Linked DNA regions of Caenorhabditis elegans. The protein of the gene in region 1 interacts with the protein of each later gene in a pairwise test. Each region holds a gene or a part of one and is shown on either strand. Other genes may lie near its edges.

Region 1 (4,575 bases):
TTGGGTCATCATGAACTTATCGCGTAAGCGACCTCTCTTTATAATTCATTACTTCTTACACTTATTGTAATAAACTACTTCTCTCCTTGTCTCTCGCTCAATACACAACAATTATGTCATTTAAAACAAAATAATTCGCACTAAATTTAACTCACTTTGAAATTTTTCAAAAATACTGTTTCAAGTTGGTAATATATGTTTATTTAGAATTCACGAATTGTTGGTCTTATGGGTCATTTTTCAATTACATTTGAATATTTCAGACTTTTCATTTAAAGCGAGGCCCGTCGAAGGGGGGGGGGGGGATTGCCGGCGGCGGAGGATCCTAGTCAGGGGCCACGCCCACGAAACCGTGCGGCAATTTAAATTTTGTAATCTCCGCACTGTTTATTTGTTAATTTTTTCTCTATGTCTCTCAATCCCCAACAAATTTCAACTTTTGTTTTTCGAAACTATGCGGAGCTTGCAAAATTTAAATTTCCGCGTTTGAATTTTCGAAGAATACTGTTTCAAGTTGTTCATATGTTCATATCCTCATTCGGAATATACTGTGCAATGCAATGAGTTTTGGCATTTAAATCCGCATTTAGTTTGATATTTTCTTTACTTGTTGTTTAAGGGAAATTACAGTGCTCCGAATTTATAAAAGATGTCATTATTCAAGAGTTCAGTTCAATTTCAAGTAGTTTAATTTTCGGACTCAATGTACACACCGAATTCGTCCATTTCCGTATGATTTCCAGTTGCAATAGTCTTTTCCTCAAGTGTAGTTTCTGAAAAATTAAGTGTTCTTGTATTGTTAAAGTCCACATGAATACCTTCAATAGTGACAGTTGAGTTTGTGGTATTTGTTTTCGGTTTCTGTGTCACAGTGGTGTTTTTAGTGGTAGAAATGGTAGTCGTAGTGTCAGTAGTCGAGGTGGTAGTTGTATCTTCTTTGTAATGTAAATAAAATGGAAGTCCAGATAGTTTTGCATCTGAAAATGGCTCAACATTTTTGATCTGTAGGGAATAATTGTTTGTAATATATTTGGAGTTCTCTTAAATTTGAAAAAATTGAGAAGTAGTCACCAACAGTTTCATTGACATGTGATATATTGAAAATATATGTTGTTCTTAATGTAGTTAAAATTCAGTGTAGCAGTTTTTCTAGCTTTTTTAAAATTCAAATCCAGTTCCTATAGTGATAAAGTAATTAAATTACCATGTTTAATTGCATACAATGCAATATCCAGTTGATTCGAACACTCTTTATTTTCTCTCATTTTCAAAAATGAAGTAGTATCCTCAAGACAGTTGATAAGATCCTCCCGACATTGAATATATGATTGATCATATCTATCCAATGGACGCATTTTCAAAGTACAAACTAAATGACTATAGGCACAACTGATCAAAGGCTCTGAAAAAAAATATATGAACTATTTGTTAGCCCATTTTATAGAAAACTGACTTCTAAATCCAAGACAAGATTTATACAATCTATTGTATTCACGATTTGCAGTTTGATTTGTTGCTGGGTGAAATGCTGTCAACTCTCTGTTATCTGGTGTTCTTGTTCCATAATGCTCATGTCCAAACTTTCTGACAAGAGAACAAGCAGCATCGGTTACAAAATCGGCACACATAAAATAGCGATCCTTTGTACTGGTCATGGCATTCTGAAATATCAAAATTTTAACAATTTCTGTTTAATCTGGCAGTCTTCTTTGAATTTCGGTAGAGGTACTATAATAATTTTTTATGTTGCCTTATACATACCTCGGAAAAAAATACTTGAAGCTACGTGGGAATGCCACATTTTTACATTAATACCCGTGCACCATACTCTAAAAAATTGTGAAAACCTCGTGATGACATATACTTTTTTATCGATTTCAAAATTAAAGTTGGCAATAAACGTATTTAATTTGAACTTTTTTCTCAAAAAAGTTCAAAACTCACACGAAGACAATTACAGAATTTGTTATCACATCCTTCTTGGGTTTGAGCAATATTATCGTAACAAGAATCGTGAACAGCACAGCAATGGTTCAATTCAACTGGAAAACAATATATTTATCAAAAATCTGTGTTTTTCTTGTTATCTAGCTCAAGGATTCATGGATTAATATGTAATTTCTGAATACGTAACATATTTTGGCCCAACTTACTTGCTTTTTCATCGCAAGTTTGGGAAATGACCTCATGAGAAATTTTCCATTGAAACCTGCTCGCACCACAGAACCACGCCTCGGGGTTAATGGTTTGTTGACCAGGGCTGAAACAATTTAAATAGGTTTACATTTTGAAAATGTACAAAATAAAATATTTTTTCAGGTAAAAATCAGTTTCAAAAATGAAAAAAAGAACATATAAAACTAACAGCTGAAAGCGTTTAGAGCGATGTTGGACTTCTGGAGTAGAAAAAGCTATGACACTGTGAAGCAGCAGAAGTAATGGCAAAGTGAACAGCATTATTCTGATTTGATGTTGATCTTCGAATTCTCAGACCAGGCAATGATTGGTTTGTTTGAGAATGGTGAGAGGTTACGTGAATTTTTTTTTTTGAGAAAAGTTCAAAATTCTAGTTGGATTTTTCACGTTTCAAATTGTATTAATCAAAATAATTTGAAAGTTGAAATAAATACATTCACTTAATTTCAATCAATGCTATTGAACGAAGCTGCAGGTTTTCCAAATTTCAAAAAATCTGATGTTTTGCACTGTGCTTTGAATAATTCAAAAACACGAAAAATGAAAATTTAAATGAAAATTTTGAAACGGCTGATTGAAAAAATTAAATTTCTGAAAGATTGGGCGTCACACCAATTAAAAGCAGTTTGATAGTTTTTTTTTAAATTTCCTTTTAACCAATTCATACAAAAAACGTATAAAAACAGTATTTGAGACAACAATTCCCGAGCTAATTTTATTGCTTTTTTATTGTGAACTTCCAAGAAAACCTTCTAAATAAGTACACGTTGATTCCAGCTTCAAACTCTTCAAAAATACGTCAAAAATATTGAAAATATTTCCAAGTGAATTCTAATTTAAATTTTAAAATGTTCTGAATAGTTTTACATCAACGTGAACTTTTATTTCATTTTTTTCTATTCTTCACGTGGCGTTTGCCAACTCATACGTTCAGAGAATCGATAAATCGATCAGTTCTCAATAATTTTCTTGAAACGGTTGTGCATCAAAAAAGTCTTCCGTTTGAAATTCTTCGCACGATGACAGATCATTTCAATTACGGACCTCGTTTGAATTTCAATCATCTTCATCAGCAACAACAGTTGCAGTGAGTTTTTGGGAAAATTTTTTTGAAAGTATAAATATTCGTTTTAGTTCAACAATCATTCCTTCGGAGTATCTCGGAGACAAGTCAGGATTTGAGTCCAGGTAAGGGATGAAGAAGGCAATTCCAAAAAATTTTTAAACAAAAAACGACTGTTTCACGGTGCTATTATAACAAAACCATATGAATGTGATTTGGTTCGAACCATGCCTTTGCCATTTTTAAAACATCATTATAAATAGTTCTGCAAATTAATATTACAGAACTCTTCCATCGGAATCTATTATGTCAGCCAACAGCAGCAGTCTTGGATCTCACTGGAAGAGAATTGATTCGTTCACTAGTGGAAAATCTACCCAATCAATTCCCACTACAATTTCTTCGAAACCTCTAACTATTCCTTCATCGATTTCTGCCAACACCGCTTCCATCCCACCAAATCATGGTTCAGAATTTTCGAAAGATTTCAAGATGTCATCCTCATCGAGCATGACTAGTGAGTATTCGGAAACCATCCATGGAAACTCGTTGGCATCTCTGGCTCCATCGTCACAAATATTGAGCTCTTTGGTTGAAACTACTGAGAATCGGGAAATGAGATTGTGCCTCGGTAAGCAAATGGAAGGAATTCTGGAACTGGATACGGTAAGTTGTTGCAGCTTACATTTTCTATAAAGAGACGTCAATCTCCAAAATTATTAAATCCAATTAACAATTGTCCAAGAAAAATGCATTTGAATTTTTCCGCATTCAAAATGTTGTATTGTCAGAAGAAGTGCACACAGACACAATCATGCCTGCCTGCCTGCCTCAATGTCAACCTGATAATTTAAAAATGCTCGCAGGCAGGCATGTGTCAGGCACGTCTTTCTGATAAGCAAGATGCTGAAAGGTTTATCTATCAGTTTTTTAGATCCTCGAGCAAACTGTGGAAAATACAACTGAAACAGTTGTCAAGCAAACATCCAAACTTGCTGAGTTGCTGCAAAATGGAAAACGTACTTGGGGACATCATGATGAGCTCGTTGATTGCCTGGAAGAAACTGTTGGTGGAACAGTAGATGAGCTGGAAAAGTTGGAAAAGAAGCTTCTTGATATGGACGCCAAGGTGAGAGAATTAAAGTTTTCCCGATGATAAGAATATTTTACAGATTGTCGACAAGTTCCGTGACAAGGAGAAGGTGGAAAAGTTTGTTCGTGATCACGAGAGAATCTACGAAATCAATGAGAAGACCATCAATATGATATCAGAGAATGAGAAACGTGTTGCTAAAATCCGTCAATTCCTGGATATC
Region 2 (3,397 bases), about 10 Mb from region 1:
TTAGATATTATTTTTGAAAAGAAATAGACGACTGCTCACAATGAGAGCTGGACAAGAGAATGAGTCTACATGCAGAGTGTGCCGAAAAAAATATTAGAAATCGATCGATTGGAACGCTGCGTTTGTTAAAAAAATATTGATTAGTTTTCCACAGGGAGATGATGAGAAATGCCGTCAAGTTAAACGCGACGAGAAAAAGAAAATTTGACTGTTTCAATTGGTTGTTATAAACTTGGATACGATTTATATAGTATTAATACTGAACTAATTATACACATTAGAAATACTATAGGAATATGACAAGGAAAGTGCTGGAAATTAACTCAAAGATGCATACGTTTTTGTAATTGGAGAGGTGAAAAAAAAATTACTGTTTCTAAAATATACCAAATTTCGGGTAAAAATTAGGGGGTATTTCTCGGGAAAAAAATATTGGACTAATTTGCAAAGAATCAAAATTTAGGTCCGTTTTTATAAAACTGTTATGTTTGTTACTGTATTCTAGCAACTATGTTAATATTTGATCTACAAGTCTCAGACGTAGCAAGGTAGCAACCAAATTGAATTAAGTCGGAAATGGAATAAAAAATTGGAGAAACAAATAGAATGCATTGAAAAATGGAAAAAAAGAAAGAACAAAAAATGCGACTACTCACAATGAGAAGAGAATGTATAAATGACTCCTCACAATCAGGCAGACTGTTTTTTTCCAGAAAACGACTGGGACGCTGCAAATCTAGGTCAATTATTGATATTGGGTAGAGAGAGTTCAATGCATTTCTAGGAGGTTTAGAAAAACAGACAGTGCACCTGCTCTAGGATTTCCCTAACAAAGGTCTTTTCTCTCTAAACCTCGCCTATAACACAATGTCTCATCTCATCCTGTCAAAATTTGACCTACATTTCCAGCGTTTTTAACCGAAGCCAGTTAGGCTATTGGTCATTCTTGCATTTAGCTCTCACCCTGGGCAGCTGCATTTTATTTTTCCTTCTTTTTAAATTTTTTTTTTTTTTGGTTTTTCGTTCTTTTGTTTTATCAATGACCCAGAATCTGTTTGTCTGAAAACCTTAAACTTTAAGCATTCAAAGTTCTAGTCCAATTAAAAATGTTGAACTCTCTAAAACTATAATACCTGTTTGATGCAGTTTTTATAATAAACTATTTTTGAACAAATCCCGATCGAGAAATAAACTTGATAATTACTTAAAGTTGTACCACTAATAAAACCGAAAAATCACTTTAAAATTCGATTACCTATAACCTTAAAAAATATTCTGATCTTCTAAAAACCTCCTAAAATGTAATTTGAGAAAATGTCGCAATATTGCAAAAAAAATTTAAAATCAATTCTAAATTTTGCTATTTCGAGGTGTTATCAAATTTTAGCGCAAGCCTTATTCGAATATTGCATTGGGATTTGCTTTCTTCTTTTTTTTTGTAAAATTCATATCGAGGATATGTAAACCAGTTTGTCAAATTTGTTGCTTTAAACCCCTTTGGATTAATTTAGGCTTACACTATTTCAGACCACTTTTTGATCGATAAAATATTAGGGGCCTCCTCAACAACCTTGTCGGTTGATATTAAACCTTTTTAGACAAATCGATATTTTTCGAACAAACGCAGCGTTCCATGCTGTTGATTTTGCGTGTATAACTCTTCAATCAACTTTAGATGCAATACTATATAAATCTTATCCAAATGTATAACAACCAGTTGAAACAGTCAAATTTTCTTTTTCTCGTCGCGTTCAACTTGACGGCATTTCTCATCATCTCCCTGTGGAAAACTAATCAATACTTTTTGAACAAACGCAGCGTTCCAATCGATCGATTTCTAACATTTTTTGAGGGATAGTCTGTCTGCAGAGTCATTCTATCGTTTATATCTCATTGTGAGCAGTCGTCTACATTTTTTTCTATCTTTCTATACACATTTCAAAACTATTATCTAACGTTGTTACCCGAAATTATAACAGCTGTTAGATACAGTTCTTTTTTTTACTTTTTGAAATCAGATTTTCCTACATTTTCTTAACTTAATCATCTTTCTTTATTTTTTCAACCCATTATTTTTCCAGAAACTACTCTAAAACTACCAACAATGTCCGCTGAAGTCGCTGCCGTTGAAATCCAAGAAGCTCCAGTTGCTGCTCCAATCATGTACAAAGTTGAATCAAATGATGGAACAGTTTTCGAAATCAGTGATGAAGCAGTAAAACAATCAAATACACTCTCCAATCTAATCTCTACATGTGCTCCAGAAGATGTAGCTTCAATGGATCCAATTCCAATTACAAATGTCACTGGAAACATCCTGAAGATGGTCATTGAATGGTGTGAGAAACACAAAGGAGAAGCACTTCCAGTTGATGATGACAGTGTTCCAAAGCATATCACTGTTCCCGAATGGGATACCAACTTCTTGAAAATCGACAACGAAGTGCTCTTCGACTTGATTGTTGCCTGCAACTACCTTGATGTGCCTGGATTAATGAATTATGGATGCAAGATGGTTGCCATGATGGCTATCGGAAAGTCTCCTGATGAGTTGAGAATCATCTTTGCAATTCCAACTGATGAAGAGGATGAAGCTGCTGAGAGAGCTGCAAAGGAGAAGGCTGAAGCTGAGAAGAAGGCGAATGCTGAGAAGGACGCAGCTGAACCATCGACTTCCAAATAATTTCTATGTATCAAGTGTTTTGTGTTTCTTATCAAATAAATAAGTTTGACTGTAATCTTGTTGACAAACATTACACAAAATTTTTATTAACAGTTTCAAGGTGTTGTTTTGAAGAGTTATTCCTAAAATGAAATATTCCATAGCAAGGTTCTAACACAGAATGCACTTTGACTATCTTCTTGTTGAAACATTTGGAAATTTTGAAAAAAAACATCTACTGTTTCAATATGTTGATTTTAAGAGTGAGGCTAAACAAGCAACAGTAAGTTTTTATTTAACCAAAAGCAATTACGTTTGAAAATGTCACAATTAAACCTTATAAACTAGTGTTGAAAGGGCATTCAAAAAAAAACTCGCGTATCTAGTTACTTTAATTCAAAAAATTCAAAAATACCATGCCACTTTTGCGGAAAAGTTTGCAATTTTGTGCGATGCTCAAAAATGTATTCACATATATCAATTTTTATGTTGGAACGTTTACTACCTAGCAACAAGAACTCCAGTAAGCTTCCTAGTCCTGGTTTTCTACTTTCTTGTTTTTTAAAACAGAAAATGCCACCCTTGCTCCTCTTCTTGGCAATTGTTGCTTGTTTCTCAAAATGCGAAGCCATTGAGAAAATGTTCATCGTCTGGGGTGCTCCAACAATATTCTCTACTCCAATAAAAATTGAAGGTAGTTTCAAGTATCATTGTATGGATGAGTGTTTGAAGGAT

The links.
Region 2: the proteins of C31H1.5 (region 1) and skr-10 interact in a two-hybrid assay, tested with the Caenorhabditis elegans proteins (one large-scale study listed by BioGRID).

Annotation. Positions count from the first base shown.
Region 1 is NC_003282.8:5,794,306-5,798,880, forward strand, and holds C31H1.5 (Phospholipase A(2)), read right to left. Parts: upstream 2,490-4,575; 5' UTR 2,458-2,489; coding exon 2,366-2,457; intron 2,261-2,365; coding exon 2,154-2,260; intron 2,043-2,153; coding exon 1,945-2,042; intron 1,662-1,944; coding exon 1,454-1,661; intron 1,403-1,453; coding exon 1,205-1,402; intron 1,142-1,204; exon of another isoform or gene 1,121-1,141; intron 978-1,120; coding exon 819-977; intron 774-818; coding exon 688-773; 3' UTR 627-687; downstream 1-626. Other genes in the region: C31H1.1 (DUF148 domain-containing protein), read left to right, coding at 3,216-3,283, 3,331-3,384, 3,544-3,925, 4,194-4,388, 4,432-4,575.
Region 2 is NC_003282.8:15,944,703-15,948,099, forward strand, and holds skr-10 (Skp1-related protein), read left to right. Parts: upstream 1-2,104; coding exon 2,105-2,683; downstream 2,684-3,397.